Diceros bicornis minor: one gene and its partner. The protein of the gene in region 2 binds, or shares a complex with, the protein of the main gene of each other region. Links are inferred from orthologs where the notes say so. Each region holds a gene or a part of one and is shown on either strand. Other genes may lie near its edges.

Region 1 (7,059 bases), on a different chromosome or scaffold from region 2:
CCAGCTCCCACGGGGCCTTAGCAACCCGATCTCTCCCCATGGCAAGCACCAGTCACAGGACCCTACACAGTGCTACACCACAACCCGCCTTGGGGGCCTGTTCCCATTGCAATGATTTTCAACATGTCCAGGGGCCAAGATGCCCCAGATGTTTGTGGGGCGTGATCAACAGAGATTCTAGGGCTGCACAGCCAGCTCAAGCAAATCCACAGCTCTGGCATGAAGGGCCCCAGAATCTGCATTTTGGACATGTTTCCGGAATGCTTCTTCTGTACCTGGGAATCAGGGTCGGGTGAGGTGTGTGAACCGCAGACCCCAGACTCCTAGCCGGCAGAACCCAGGGGCGTGGGGATGGCTGGCAGAGTGTCAGCATCATGGAGAGTGGGAGTAGACACGACACCAGGGCGTGACCAAAGCACCCCGGAGGTTTCTTCAGTGGCCAGGTCCGAAGTCAAGAAGTCAGTTTGTAAATGTTTTTATTTGCAAGTTGGCTTGTGCCAAGTTCAAGGAGCATTTCTCCCCCACCTCTGTCCCTTTTCCAAGCTGAGCACCTAGGGTTGCATTTGAGGAAGTTAAAAACGTGGGCGATGCAACCCCATTGGGTGGGTTTCTTTCTTTACATTCTTTGGATTACTACAGGAGTCTGTACTTAAAAAATCAACACATGAAAGATAAAACTTGAACAAGAAAAGAAAGGGGAGTGTTGGGTGGAGATGTGAGGGGCGCTGTCTGCCCCTCTCCCCACCTCCATCTTCAAGCGTGGAGGCAGAGAGAGCATCTCTGACAAGCGTGCGAGAGGCAGGTGGTGGGGTGCCCCGCGGCCCCCCGCCCTCACCTCACAGCTGGTCTTCTTGTTCTCCCTGCTCTGCTTCTGCTCTGGCCTCGGCCCTCAGCACCCTGAGGTGCCTGGCCTCGCCTGCCCTGGGGACTCGCTTGGGCAGGGCTGGCAATCGGGGAGTGTGCCAGAAGGCTCTCCGGTGCTTTCGAAACCATGAAAAGCGTCCGGGGGTCTGGAACCTCACTGTCTTGACCTGTTTCCGGGTCCTGGCTCCTGAGGTTGCCCCCGTGGCCCCCCGGGCAGCTGAGGCTTCAGCTTCCTGGATGGCTGGGGCCTCTGCCCTCTGGTCAGCTATGGCCTCTGCCCCATTAGATGCAGCCTGTGCTCCCTGGACAGCTGGGGCCCCTGCCCTCTGATTATCTGCAACCTCTGCCCTCCGGCCAGCTGGGCCCCCTGCCCTCTGATTATCTGCAACCTCTGCCCTCTGGACAGCTGGGCCCCCTGCCCTCTGATTATCTGCAACCTCTGCCCTCTGGACAGCTGGGGCCCCTGCCCTCTGATTATCTGCAACCTCTGCCCTCTGGACAGCTGGGGCCTCTGCTCTCTGGACACCTATGGCCCCCGCCCTCTGATTAGCTGCAGCCTCCGCCCTCTGATTATCTGCAGCCTCCGCCCTCTGATCCTCTGCAGCCTCCGCCACCTGAGCTGTGGATGCGGCTGCCTCTCTCCTGCGCCGCCGGAACGAGGCCCAGTTCATCTTGGGCCTCCATCGCCTTGGGGGGGTCCCAGGCACCCGCCCGTCTCCCGCGCTCCCCACGTGATGGGCGCTGCCCAGCGCCGCTGCCCCCTCCCTCTCCACCCTGGCTGAGGCCTGCTGGGCCTCGCCCACCCCGGGGCTGGACCTGGGCGCCCAACACTTCACCCTGTGCTTCAGGTTCCCCCAGGACACCTGGCTGACATACTCCCGCCACCTGTCCGCCTTGGACAGCTGGGGCTCCGGGCTGTTGTCGAACACGGGCACGGGCAGGGCCACGCGGCGGCGGGGTGGTGGGGCGCTGGGCTTCTTGTCCCCTCGCCGGAGGAAGGCCTCCACCAGCTCCTCGTCCTCCTCGCTCTCCAGGTCGCTCCCGAGGAATTTGCTGCCCAGGTAGCTGACGGGCATTCTGCGCACCCTCCTGCGGCATCCCGGGCTTTTGGGGCCCTGGTCACCCTTGTCCCTGGAGGTCTCGAAGTCACTGAACTCGCTGTCGCTGGCGTTACTGCTGTCGTAGGTGCCCACGACCAGCCTGGGGGGCGGGGTCACCATCTGCTGGACTCTCCTCCCTCGGGGCTCCTTCGGCTTTGGGGGGGGCTGGGGTGGGTGCGGGGTGCTCTTCTCAATGATGCGGGCCACGTCCTCGAGGGTGCGGCCTTCTTCCTCCAGAAACTGGGTCAGCCGCTCCCGGAATTCCGCCTCCTTGGTGGCGGGCTTGGAGATGACCCTCCAGACGCCCCCGGCCAGCCTGACCTCCCGGGGGATGAGCAGATAGTCCACGTCCTCCCCAATCTGGAGCATCCCCACTGTGGAGTCCTCCTCCCTGCGGAACACCTTGCCGATCTTCTTAAAGGTCCCCACGGGCTTCAAGGCGTCCACGAGGACGTCCAAATCCACGTCTTTGCAGACATCGGGGACGCTCCAGAGAATCAGGCAGTCGGGGGAGGGGAGGAAGCCCCAAGGGAACCAGCCCCCCACATGGCTCTTCTCGAGGGTCTTTAAGATCTCCAGGGTGAAATATGGGGTGGGGGCCACGAGCCCAAACTACACGAAGCCCCTAGTCTTGGGGGTGGGAGTGAGGTCCCAGCAGAGCAGCCTGGAAAGTCTCGCCTCCCCAGCCAGGGATGAACCAACACTTCCCAATTTCTCTGCCTGCAGCCAGTCCGGTCTTGACCAAGTCTGGCTCCCCCCAAGGGCTGGTGGGAATCGATTCCCAGGACGCTTACGTGAGCCGGGGTGAGGTCAGTCCTGAGCTCCAAGCCCACCGCGAGCTGCCAACGTGGTGGGGCGCACGGGCTGCCCGTGGCTCTTCCTGCCCCGGGCACCAGGGACGCGCCTGGAACTTGGGAGAGGACTTTGCAGACAAAGACGGCTGGCTATTCAATATGGCCGAAGCACTTGGAGGCCGCAGCCCAGCCCCCAGGAGGGTCTCCCGCCCCTAGACAGGCTGCCACCCCCGGCCAGGCTGACCTTCAGGCGCGTCCCGCCTCCCAGCCCGCGCGCTCAGTGCCGAGGAGCGCGCGCGGGCAGGAAGTTCCTCCTCGCCCTTCTCCAACGAGGCCCACCTTCCCCCTTCTCAGCTTACACTCCTGACTCGGGAAGACTGACAGGGGGGCTGTCCACTCCCTTCGGGGCGCCCTCACTCCCCTCCCGCACAGGGGTGTGGCCGCGCCCCGGACCTCGCTGGGGCCACCGCTTCCAAGCGGAACGCGCTCCGAGGCCCACGTCAGCACCTTTCCCGACACAGACCGTCGTTTCTCATCCTTTCCCAAACCTGCCACCCTAAACGTGCGGGTTCCAGCCAAGCGCCGGAGGTGGGTGTGCTAATAAGGCCGTCCTTTTGAAGGCCATACACGCTACATATTACCACTTAAAATCGCGTGACTTCTGGTACCCGCAATTCCTATGTACCTACCCCATACATTTGGGGGGAGAAATTGGTACCAGGGTCTTAGTGCACCAGCCCCTAGTGTGGGGCTTGGCACAAGTTCGTGCTCAATAAATATTTTTGAGCCAATGAATGAACCTAATTGTTCATGGGGGGGGCTGATTCAATTTTATGGTCTAATCTGATAGTGAAATACTACGCAGCTATGAAAAAGAAGGCTAGTCATGTTTTACAGGGCACTTCCATGTCCTAGGCACCATTCTAAGAGCTTTCTATGAATTAACTCATGAAATCCTCCCCCTAACCTTATGAGACAGGTAATATGTTGATCCTTCCCGTTTTATAGCTGAGGATATAAAATCATTTGCTCAAGGTCACACGGCCAAGGAGGATGGAATCTGGATTTGAATCTGAAACAGTCTGTGTGTGTGTGTGTGTGTGTGTGTAGGGCCTAGGTGTGCACATGTGCTTGTCACATGTACAGGCACTGCCCACAGTGGCTGTTTCTGGGAAGGGGACTGCGGACTCCCAGAGGCGGCAGAGACATATGCTTTCCACTCTATATTCTTTTGCATTGCTTGGATTTTTAGCAATCAAAAATGTTAATTCACATAAATTAAACGAAAAGCCCTCAGACTCAGCCACAGATATAGCAGGTCAGGATCTCTAAGACATGGGACCAGAGTTTGCAAAACTTCCCAGGTGACTCTGAGGCAGCCAGCTCAGCAAAGACATGCACAACAACAAAGGCAGGGGCCGGCTGGGTGGCGCAAGCGGTTAAGTGCGCCCGCTCCGATGCGGCGGCCCGGGGTTCCCGGGCCGGATCCCAGGCGCGCACCTACGCACTGCTTGGCAAGCCATGCTGTGGCAGCGTCCCATATAAAGTAGAGGAAGATGGGCACGGATGTTAGCCCAGGGCCAGTCATCCTCCGCAAAAAAAAAAGAGGAAGAGGAGGAGGATTGGAGGATTGGCAGATGTTGGCAGATGTTAGCACAGGGCTGATCTCCCCACAAAAAAACCAACAACAACAAAGGCAAGAGTAAGAGTAATAATAACAGTTAACTTGCACAGAGGGTTTCCTTGGAACCAGACATCCTGCGATGTGCTGAACAGTCCTGTTGTTATGAATCCTCAGAGATAGAGGGTAAGGTGCCCTTCACTCTCATCTTACATCATCCCCAACCCAGCAGCTAGAGGGATCGTTCAAAAACTTAAGTCAGATCTGTCTCTACTCTTTTTAAAATCCTCCATCGCACTCAGAGTAAAGCCAAAGTCTTCACCATGGTCCACGAAGCCCTACAAGATCTCGCCACTTCCCTCTCTCTTCCTCTCCTCGCTCACTCCACTCCAGCCACACCTGCCTCGTCTTCGCTGTTCCTGCAACACACTAGGCTTGTCCCCCACCTCAGGGCCTTTGCACATGCTGTTCCCTCCACGCAGAAATGTTCTGCCGCATCGCCTCTTGGCAATCTCTCTCTGCTCCAATCTCACCTTTTTAGAGAGGTCATTCTGCCTCCCTTTTCCCCGCTAAACTCAAAGAGTGGCCTCCACCCTCTCCAGGGCCCTCTAGCCCAGGAATCCTTAACCCTTTCTGTGCCATGAGCCCTTTCCAGGGTAGTTTTTAAATGCCAATTATAGTGAAATACAACTGTTAAAAGAAAAATTCCAACCACCACAACAAAACAGGTACACTGATGACTTTAATATAAGGGATGAAAATGAACACGTATAATTTTGTTTAACTCACGCTGTGTGGTTTTATTTAACTCCTGAAGGAACCAGGCAGATGTTTAGAGACAGAGGGATGGGAGACAAAAGAAAGGGAAGGGAAAGAGGAAAAGAAGGAAGGGAGATGCTTGGGGGGTGAGGGGCGGTTAAGGCCTCAGGGAGGCCTTTGCACAATTATCGGCTCATTCGGGTTGTTTTCGTTTTTGCAGAGCTGGGCCGTCAGGCTTCACTGGATTTTCTCCTCCTCCTTCTCAAGGCGCCGTCCCAGCCCCCGCACTCAGCTCCCGCGGGGCCTCCCGCCACCCGGCCCCTCCCTGATGCGCGGTTTCTCGCCCCGCCTCCTAACCGTCTCCATGGCAACGAGGAGACGCGTTGCTAGGCGCGAGTCCTCTCTGAGACTGCGGGGCGCTGGCGGAGGGCGGGGGCGGGACAGAGCCTCTTATCGGCTTCTTATCCCTTGCTTCCGCCTGATCCCCAAAATCTGCTTCCCTGAACAGCTGCTTCGCAGAGGCCCCAAACTAAAAGTCCCTAGGACACCCGTTTGAGAAATTCTGGCTAAAGAATCCAGGTCTGAGAAATAAAGACACCACCTCCCAAGCAGGAAAGACCTCCCAGATGAGATATTGGTAAAAGGATTTTTTTTTTTTTGGTGGGAGAAGGAAGGATTATCCTAGAAATGAAAACCTCAAATGTTCAACATGCTCATAAAAATTGCCAACCCCTGAGCAGTTCCGCTGGGGGTGTTTGAGATTCCCAGATCGCTGGCGGGCAAGATCTTTCTCTAGCCGTCCTAGGAAAAAAAAACCACGATAATTACACCTCCTGCTTTTCTATTTGTTTAAAAGAAACGAAAAATCAGAAAAGATTGAGGGAAGAAAACAAAACTTGGCCCTAATCTCTCTACCCAGCTCCACTTGGTTGCCATTTTAAACAATAATAATAATAATAAAAGTGATGCACACATATGCGAAGAAAATGCTTAAGTTACAGAAAGGTGTACAATGAAAAACGTCTCCCTCCCCCAGCGGCAAGTCCCCAGCCTCTCCCGCTAAAGTAGCCACAGTTAAATATCTCTCAGGGAAAAAACAAATGCTTACATTAGTATATTTTAGTAACTTTAGAATTTACCCCCTGGGGATTTTTCACATCATTCTGAATTATTTTCATCACAGTACTTATCACTTCCTGGTATTTTCTTATTTATTTATTGTCTCTCCCTGTTAGAGCATTAGCCCCACCAAGGCAGAGATATTTGTCTGGTTTGGCTCACCGCTGAATTCTCAGCGTCTAGAACAGCATGGGTAGGTGCTCAAAATATTTGATGAATGAATGAGGGGCTTGCACTAGATCTATTGCTAGAAAACTTGCTTTTTTCCCTGAATAGCATGTCTTGAAGTCTTTCTGAATCAGTGCATGCAGATCCATCGCAGTTTTCTTTTTCCGTGACAGCTTGCACCTTTGTGTGTGTCCACAAGCCTGGAACGTCATAACACTGATGATAATTCACTTTTATTGAGCATCTACTTTGCCCCTGCCCCTGTGCATTTTCTCTTTTAATCCATACACCCCCTCCTGAGCAAGTGTTATTCCCATTTTCCGGATGAGAAACACTGAGGCCAAAGAAGGTCACACAGCCAGGAAATGGCAGAGCCAAGCTTTGACTCACTCGGGTTCCCTAGATTCCAACCCCACCCTTGGAAGCCTCCTTTATTTGCCCAGTTGCCTGAGGTGGGGTGGAGTGGGGAGCAAGGTGGGTGGGCAGTCCCCGAAGTCTTCTCTCCCAGGTGACACTTGTAACCTTGGCACAGTCACCAGATTTGTCCTCAGTCTTCAACATCCAGAAATCAGATCCCTGTCTAGAATGGACAGGATATAAATTGTCCCCACCTCTGGACCAGATACCAGAAGGT
Region 2 (7,599 bases):
GGTTGGCCTTTGCCTCTCCTCTCACCCTATCCTTGATGGCTTAGGCCCCTATACTTTCTCCTGGCCTCAACCACCCTGTTTCCCTGACTCTGACCTTTGGGAAAGTCTTGCTGTATCAGTTTCTTCCTAGGAGAGTCTTCCTCACCTCATAGCCTCCTAAACCCAGATTTTCTCAGCCCTCCAAGTGGCCCCCCGCAACTGCCGACCCCCATTTTACCATCCCAATCTTACTGAGAGTTTTCTCCCTGGGTGGCCTGCCAGAGCCCCCTGCATGAAGCCCCAGCTATGCCCCACACAAGAGAGATCCCTAGCAGTGTCCCACCATCCTGCGCTGGCTCACCTGCACAGGGGGCACGCCGCTGTTGCTCTGACGGAACTCGCCCTCGTCCCCAGCACTGATCTCCTCGTAATCATCCAGCATCCGCACGCGCATCCCTGGCTGCAGTGTATCCCGCACGTACAGGGCATAGGTATTGCCACTTGCGAACTCAGAGCGAGGGCGAAACCGCCTCGACCTCCTGAGGGAGGCCTGGGCGGGTGGCAGCCCTGGGCCCGCATCTGCCAGCTGGGGCTGGAAGATGGAACAGGAAGACCGTGCCAAGGGCCCCTGTCTGCTTGAGGCCCAGTCCCAGCGCATGGCCTGCACCAGCTCTGAGATCAGGGTGCCCATGGCCATGCTGAACTCCAGCTCCAGCCGACCCCTCTCCCCACTCAACTCCTCGGGAGCAGAGTTGTTCTGGGCTCCTGGTTCTGCAGCACTGTCATTCAGCTTATCCAGGAGGAAGGTGACATGCAAATAGCGCTTCACCAGGGAGAAGAGCAGCCTTCCTGGGACCTGTAGGACGCAATCTTTGTCCACCTATGTGGACTATGTCCACCTTGTCCCAGCTTCAGCCCCTCTCTCCACACCGTCCTCTACGGACAGGTGCAAAGGCTTGGTCCCTAGATCTTGTTCATAGCTTCCCCACAACGCCCCCCACAGAATACCTGCGGCAGTTGAACACCCTCAAAAGACATGGGGTGTTCAGAGAGTGTGGCCTGTGCAAACAGAGCCAGCAGAGCACAGCGGCTGTCAAAATCCAGGTGTTTCTCAATGGCCTCTTGTTGGCTCAGTGATAGAAGGATCTGGGTCCGAGTCCCTGAAACCCACACCCCAATCAGTAACAGCTCCCTAACCCCACCCTTTCCAGGCATCTCTTCTAGACCCTCTACTCTCAGTCCAATCTTTTTGCCACTACACACAAGGAACGATACGATTTGCTTCAAAAGCCAAAACTTGCTATCTTTTTCACATCTACCTATCTCCTACAATAGGCTAACAGTCTAAACTCTGAACTCTTCCTTTGCATAGAAAGCCAACTAATATGAAGTTCTTGAGGACTCAGTCTTTCCTCTTTCTGCAGAGATGCCTGCACCCACCTTCCCAACTTCTGTTTTTCCAACTCTAAGAGAAGGGCAACAGAATTGTTTACGTACTGATGAAGTCAGAGGTTCCTGCACTGTGTCCTGTGAGGCCCTGAGCCGACCCAGCCCCTCTCCTGCTCCCTCTTCCCCCCAACACTGCTCCTCACCAGCATCATGGGAGGCCAGAGCTTGTATCATCCGGCCCGCGCTCCAGCGAATCTGATAATCAGGACTACTCAACATGTGCATGAGCAAGTCCAGGACCCTTGGGTCTTTGAACACCCCAGTGAGGGGCTCGATGCTGGCGTAGGCACTGAGCACGTGGACAGTGTGAAGCAGAGGAGCAGGAGGGATGGTGCCCACACACTCCTCCAGCTGCCGAAGCGCCCTCTGAATCAGAGACTTCACATCAGTTTCCATCTCCCCCAGCACAGATTTGTCCAGGGCCCCAGACTCCCCTGTGGTCTCCTGGGAGGGCCCGATGACCTGGCCGTCCTCGCCCAGCATCTTGTGGCAGTTGGCATAGATCTCGTCGTTGGACATCCATAGCAGGATGTGCTCAGCCTTGCAATCCACTTGGCTAGAGCCCCCTTCCCCATCATCTCCACGCCTGAGGATGAGCCAGCGGATCTGGTACTCAGGATGCCCATCGTGGCCCACCCGCTGGCGGATCAGCTCGTCAGGATAGGCGTGCAAGCCAGGCCCCAGGGGCACTCTGAATTCCCTGTAGCGGAGCTCCCCCACCATCTTGGCACCTGGGACACACAAGAAAAAGAGAACAGGCAAGCTAGAGTGAGAGGGGAGGTCAGAAAACCAAGGACATCCAGAAGTTGGGGAAACAAATGTGGGAACAGTTGTCAGGCTGGGTGGGGTAAAGCAGGGCCCAGGAGTTGCCTGATGCAGGCTGGGTGGAGCCAGGCCTAAGCAGAGGAACACTGTGGTGTTTGTTCTGAGAGAACACAAAATTTGGGAGCTAAAAGGAGGGTCCAAGGCCCTGCAGCCTGGAGAGGGTTGGTTTGGAGCAGTGGGAAGGGGACCGTGGGGACAGGGCAGCCTTGGAGTTACAAGTCCCAAGGCCCTGGGACAGGCTGCAGCAGCCTTGGGAAGGCGCTATGCAAAGCCCAGAGGAGGGTGTGTTTGGGGGGCGTTGGGGAGAGAGACCCTGAGTGTGTATGGGAAGAGGGGCTAGCTCTAACGGTTGAAGCACAAGAGCGTGAGTCGCAGAGACAAGAGACCCATAGTATTGGTGGTGCAGTGGGGGCGCAAGGCGCGATGGGCCGGGAGGAGGGGTCGGTGGGCTGCAAGCGCTGATGACTGGAGGCACTGGAGAGCAAGGCTGGGGGGGTGACGCGAGGACCGGAACAGGGGGCACAGCAGACACGGTGGGTGACGGGCGCGAAGCTTGGTGGCCCGGGTCGAAGGCCCGAGAAGCCAGGGGCGCGCGGCAAGGTGCGGGGGAGGGGGCTAGGCCGGATAAACGGGAATCCCGAGGTACGATGGAAGGGGGAGACGCGAGGTCCGGTGAGCGCGAGGCTCGCTGGGCGAATGGGCGGAGGATAACCCAGGGTAGGGGCAGGGGCCGCGGCGGGGCTTTGGCCACCTCAGAAGTCGATGGGGGTCCTGGCGCGAGGCCTGTCCTTCGCAGAGCTAGGGACGCGGCGCAGACGATGGCGGCGACGCTGGCAGAGATTTGGGCCCCGCCTGGGCCCCCTGAGGGGGTCGAGGCGGAGAGGTGGGAGGGGGCGTGCCGGGCAGGGGGCGTGGCGCGCAGGGCGAGCGCCCTGGGGCCGGGCCAGTGTCACCGCCCGCGCGCAGGTTCGCGGCCGCTGGGGCGGGGCGGGGCAGGGCAGGGCAGGGCAGGGCGGGGCCTGGTCCCACCAGCGGCGCCGCCCGCCCGGAGCCGCGGCTCATTTCCGCCGGGCCCAGCGGAAAGGTGGGGGCCTTGAGACAGCGCTGGGGCGGAGCCGCCGGTGCCACCGCGGCGACGCGCGGCACCTCCTCCTCTGCGCCGCCCTTTCCTCTTCCTCCTGGTCCTCCCTCCTGCCACCGGAAGTGCCTTTCCCGTTCCCAAAGTCAGAACTGAGAAAGACGCTGGAGGTCATTTATTCCCCCTCCTCCATTACATGTAAAGAACTGAGACAAGGGGGCGGCTGGAAATGAGGGGGGAGCAGCTTCAGTCTTTCCCCCACATTATCCTTTCCTTTCTCCTCCCATCTCAGTTGTTTGCTCCTGTTTTGTTCCCAGTCCAGTATGTACCATCCTCCCTCCCAAAAAAACAGTAACAGATAAAAATGGGGGGCCATTTTATTAACGTCCAGGGATATCAGCTTTGGGCAGCAGCTGAGGGCAGCTTCACGTAACTCTTCATGGGGGGCAGCGGCCGAATCTTTCGGCCAGCCCAGCCACCCTTGCGGTGCCATAGCCCGCTGTTAGGCCTCTTGCCCAGCCAGCGGTTCCGCCCAGCCTTGCCGATGACCCGTTTGTTATGATCAACGTTGGATACTCGGCCTACTGTTGCTATGCACGTATCCAGCACCTGACAGAGAAAGCAGATGGAGAAGAATGCACATAGGGGGAAAGGGCCTGACACTGTTGAGGGCCTGGATTCTTGGGAGGCTTCTTACACTCAATGAGAGAAGGGAGAGGGCAGGGGAAAAGCACAACGTACTTGAACCTGAGCGCGGGTCCTACAGTAGCTGAAAACCAAAGACACTGTATCCTATTCCACCATGGTGTTAGCCTGACAAGGTATGCCTAGTCACATGGCATAAGAGGACAGACCCAGCTCACAGCAGTTCCTAACATAAAACCCCTGGGAGCTATCCGGCACAGGAAAGGTACATTCCAAAAGCTTCTGTGCTGATCCCTCCCACCTGTACCCACACACATACCTGCATCTGCCTCTTAGAGGGCAGCTGGATGATGGCCGTCCCATTCACCTTCCGTAGCAGCACACCACATGTCCCTGGGAAAGGGAGAAGCAGCTGTGCTACCCTCCACAGTGGAGGAGGTGGGGAAGAGTTTTACAGAGGGCCATACACCACACCCCACACCACTTGCTTTGCCCTTTGGGAGCAGATACACTGAAGCAGGATGTATGTAATATGTTAGGTCAAAACACAAGCACCTCTTCATCCTCATTTGCCTTGTTTTTTCCTTCTTTTGCTCTGCCAGTGGACCAGATGTGAGCCCGTGGGTCCAGAGAATTGTGACCTCAGGTACCCTCTGGCCTTCCAAATTGTAAAACCCCAAGTAGCTTCCTTCTTTATACCTGCGGCACGGATATACTGAGCTCCCCGGCCTGGCTCACTCTCCACGTTGTTGATGAGGGTCCCTACAGGCAAGGCCCCAAGAGGATGTGCATCTCCTTCCCGAGCAGCAACTAAAAGATGGAATTTCATCAGCACCAGAACCCTTGCAGCCTCCCAGCCCACACACATCTGGCAGACATCTCTCACCTGCCATTCGGCCTATGTGGTCAGAGTTCAGGATTATATCTCCAGCCTGCATGTTTTCTGTGGCAATGATCCAGCGTTTCCGGCTGCCCCCAGCAACCAGAGCTATGTCTGCTGACCTGTTCAGGGTGAGGTTCGGGTGAGCAGACCATCTAGGCAGCCCTACATCTTCTGAAAAGCCACAGAGCAGTCATTCAGCCACGCCATCATCACCCCACATCCCAAACTTGCCTACAGGGATCATAGCGGACAGTGACAACCTTCTCCTCAAAGGGTCCTGGCTTGGTTGCCTGCTCAGGCCGGAACCGCAGAAAGTCAATCATACGATAGCGTTGCTTGTGGCCCCCGCCAATACCATGCACTTGGATTCGGCCTATGGTCAGGACAGTGTGGGGACATGACCCAGGTCAGATGAATCAGCTCCCAGCATTGGGAACAGGCCCATCCTGGGAGAGAGCAGTGCTTCCCAACATTATGACACAAGCAGAAAATTATAAAAACTTGCACAGTACAATGGGGTCAATAGGGATGGGGAAACATCTACAAGGAGCTTGGTAAAAACACAATTATATGATATTGAAATTGTATAAAACTTCCAGATAAAATCTCTACAAATTACTGATTTCAGTAAGTTTACTGAGAGCCATGTAAATAGTGCTCAATTTCAACTGTTGTTAAGTTTTTGAAGGGTGCGAAGAAAAATGTCATGGAACTCCCTGTGTATGTCCGGTTTTCTTCAAGTACCTAGATTGTCTTTAGGAGCACAGACCACTTGTCTGTTGCTTTGAATTCTACTCTCTCACTCTTACACATATAGTATATGCTGGAGTCTAATAAATGTTTTTTTGTTGTTGTTGTTGAGAAAGATTCGCTATGAGCTAACATCTGTTGCCAATCTTCCTCTTTTCGCTCGGGGAAGATTCACTAGAGCTAACATCCCTGCCAATCTTCCTCTATTTTGCATGTGGGACACCACCACAGCATGGCTGACAAGTGGTGTAGGTCCGTGCCCAGGATCCAAACCCATGAACCCGGGCCACCAAAGCGGAGCACGCTGAACCTAACCACTACACCATGGGGCCAGCCCCCTAATAAATGCTTTTTAATTACATTCCTCTGCCTGTATCTATATACAGACCTAGGATCCTACCATGTTTTCCCTCTTTACTGCTTAAATCCTATTGCCCTTGTTCCCACCTGTGTGGTCTCGGCCCCCAGACTTCCTCATCTTCACTGGTGTGATGGTGTACTTGGTACGACTCTTCCAGGAAACAAAATTGGCACTAAGGGCCACAGAGGTAAGGAGTGGGCGGCAGGGAAGCAACATCGAGGCAGTGGGCAGCTGGAGGAGGGCATTTTTTGTTACCTAGAGATTAACAAAAATCTTTTTCACTTTAAAGCTAATTGAAGGAGAAGCACCAGAGAATCAAGGGAGAGGGCACAGATTAAGTTTAGCTTGTAGCCGACTTCCTCCTGGAAGTGTTCTAGATTAGCTGTCCCAAAACTCCACTCTTTACCACTTGCACAAATAACAATGCAGAATGTTTATCCACAGGTGTGTGTATTGATTACCTCTCCTCATTTGATCTTCTCACCTCTGAAGTACTTCTTCACTGGAATGTTCTCCCCTTGGTGCACTTCCTTCCAAATTTGGCTCAAAACTCTCTCCAGGAAACTTCTCCTTTCCTAAACAACTCCCTTCTCCAGAGCTGGTAACTTCCACACATCCATGTACCACCATTAGCACCAATACCTTTTGCCCATCTGCATTATGTTTCTGTGAGTTTTTCAGATATGAATGGAGAAGGATCATTTCTTTCTTGTTCCCTGCTGTATTCCCAGCATTTCACAGAGTAGGTTGGTTTGGTTTTGAATTTTAAGTATTCATCTGCCAAACTACCATCAGCTTGAAAGGTCCAGAGGAGCAAGATTTACAACTTCTCTTTTCTGTGATTCACTAATCACCCACTGGGGACCTTGTGATATGTTCTCTTTAGGGTCCTATTCTGGTTTCTTGCCCTGCATTCTCTAATCTCAGCAATAACTCATCCTTAATGCTTATCATAATGGTTAAGAGCCCAGGCTTTAAAGCCAAACTGCCTAGGTTGGATAACTGATATGTGACCTTGGACTGCTTACCAGTTTTCTCATATGTAAAATGGGAATGATAGTAACTACCTTACAGACTGGTTGAAAGGAGTTCATTTATTTAAAACGTCTATTATTTTTGCTAAGCTTATGATAGGCACTCAACAAATATCAATTATTATTGAAACCTGTACAACGGGTGATCTGTAAAGCACTTTCACCTCCAATAGCTCGTCTGAGGAATCCAGCGGCCCTGTGAGACAGCAACACCTACAGAGGAAAGCTGAGGCTGAGAGCGACTTATCCAAGGTCACAGGCCGGCATGACTCCTGACCAGCCTCGCGTTCCCTGCCTCCCATCCCCAGTGCCCCCTCTCCGGCGGCCCGAACCGAAACAGCCTCATTTCCAGGTCAGTAGGATTACCTGGGTGGCCGAGAGCAGGCTCGGGCTGGGGACGGCGGCTGCCGGGGGCGTGAGGCTCAGAGAGCCCAGAGCGCGCGTCACTACCCGCAGGGCCATGACGATGGCCAGGCTCCGCTGGGCTCAGCACGCCACCATTACCTTTAGCCACCTGGCGCTCCTGGATGACGCTATAGGTCCCGGTGTCGTCGCTCCATCATGATGTAAAAAGAGGCAGGCAGAGAACCCGAGA

What was found. Proteins that work in one complex are often made in the same cells at the same time.
Region 1: CUL7 (region 2) and CCDC8 share a complex: the UniProt entries of both Homo sapiens proteins name them as parts of the 3M complex. The link is inferred for Diceros bicornis minor from reciprocal best matches to the Homo sapiens genes CUL7 and CCDC8.

The regions. Positions count from the first base shown.
Region 1 is NC_080773.1:21,981,498-21,988,556, forward strand, and holds CCDC8 (coiled-coil domain-containing protein 8), read right to left. Parts: upstream 3,015-7,059; 5' UTR 2,334-3,014; coding exon 837-2,333; 3' UTR 4-836; downstream 1-3. UniProt on the Homo sapiens protein: Core component of the 3M complex, a complex required to regulate microtubule dynamics and genome integrity. It is unclear how the 3M complex regulates microtubules, it could act by controlling the level of a microtubule stabilizer.
Region 2 is NC_080753.1:22,624,019-22,631,617, reverse strand, and holds the start of CUL7 (cullin-7), read right to left. Parts: upstream 3,100-7,599; 5' UTR 3,005-3,099; intron 2,160-3,004; 5' UTR 2,152-2,159; coding exon 1,572-2,151; intron 1,140-1,571; coding exon 988-1,139; intron 836-987; coding exon 341-835; intron 1-340. Other genes in the region: MRPL2 (large ribosomal subunit protein uL2m), read right to left, coding at 3,728-3,940, 4,296-4,369, 4,676-4,786, 4,863-4,978, 5,091-5,232, 6,057-6,225, 7,371-7,466. UniProt on the Homo sapiens protein: Core component of the 3M and Cul7-RING(FBXW8) complexes, which mediate the ubiquitination and subsequent proteasomal degradation of target proteins. Core component of the 3M complex, a complex required to regulate microtubule dynamics and genome integrity.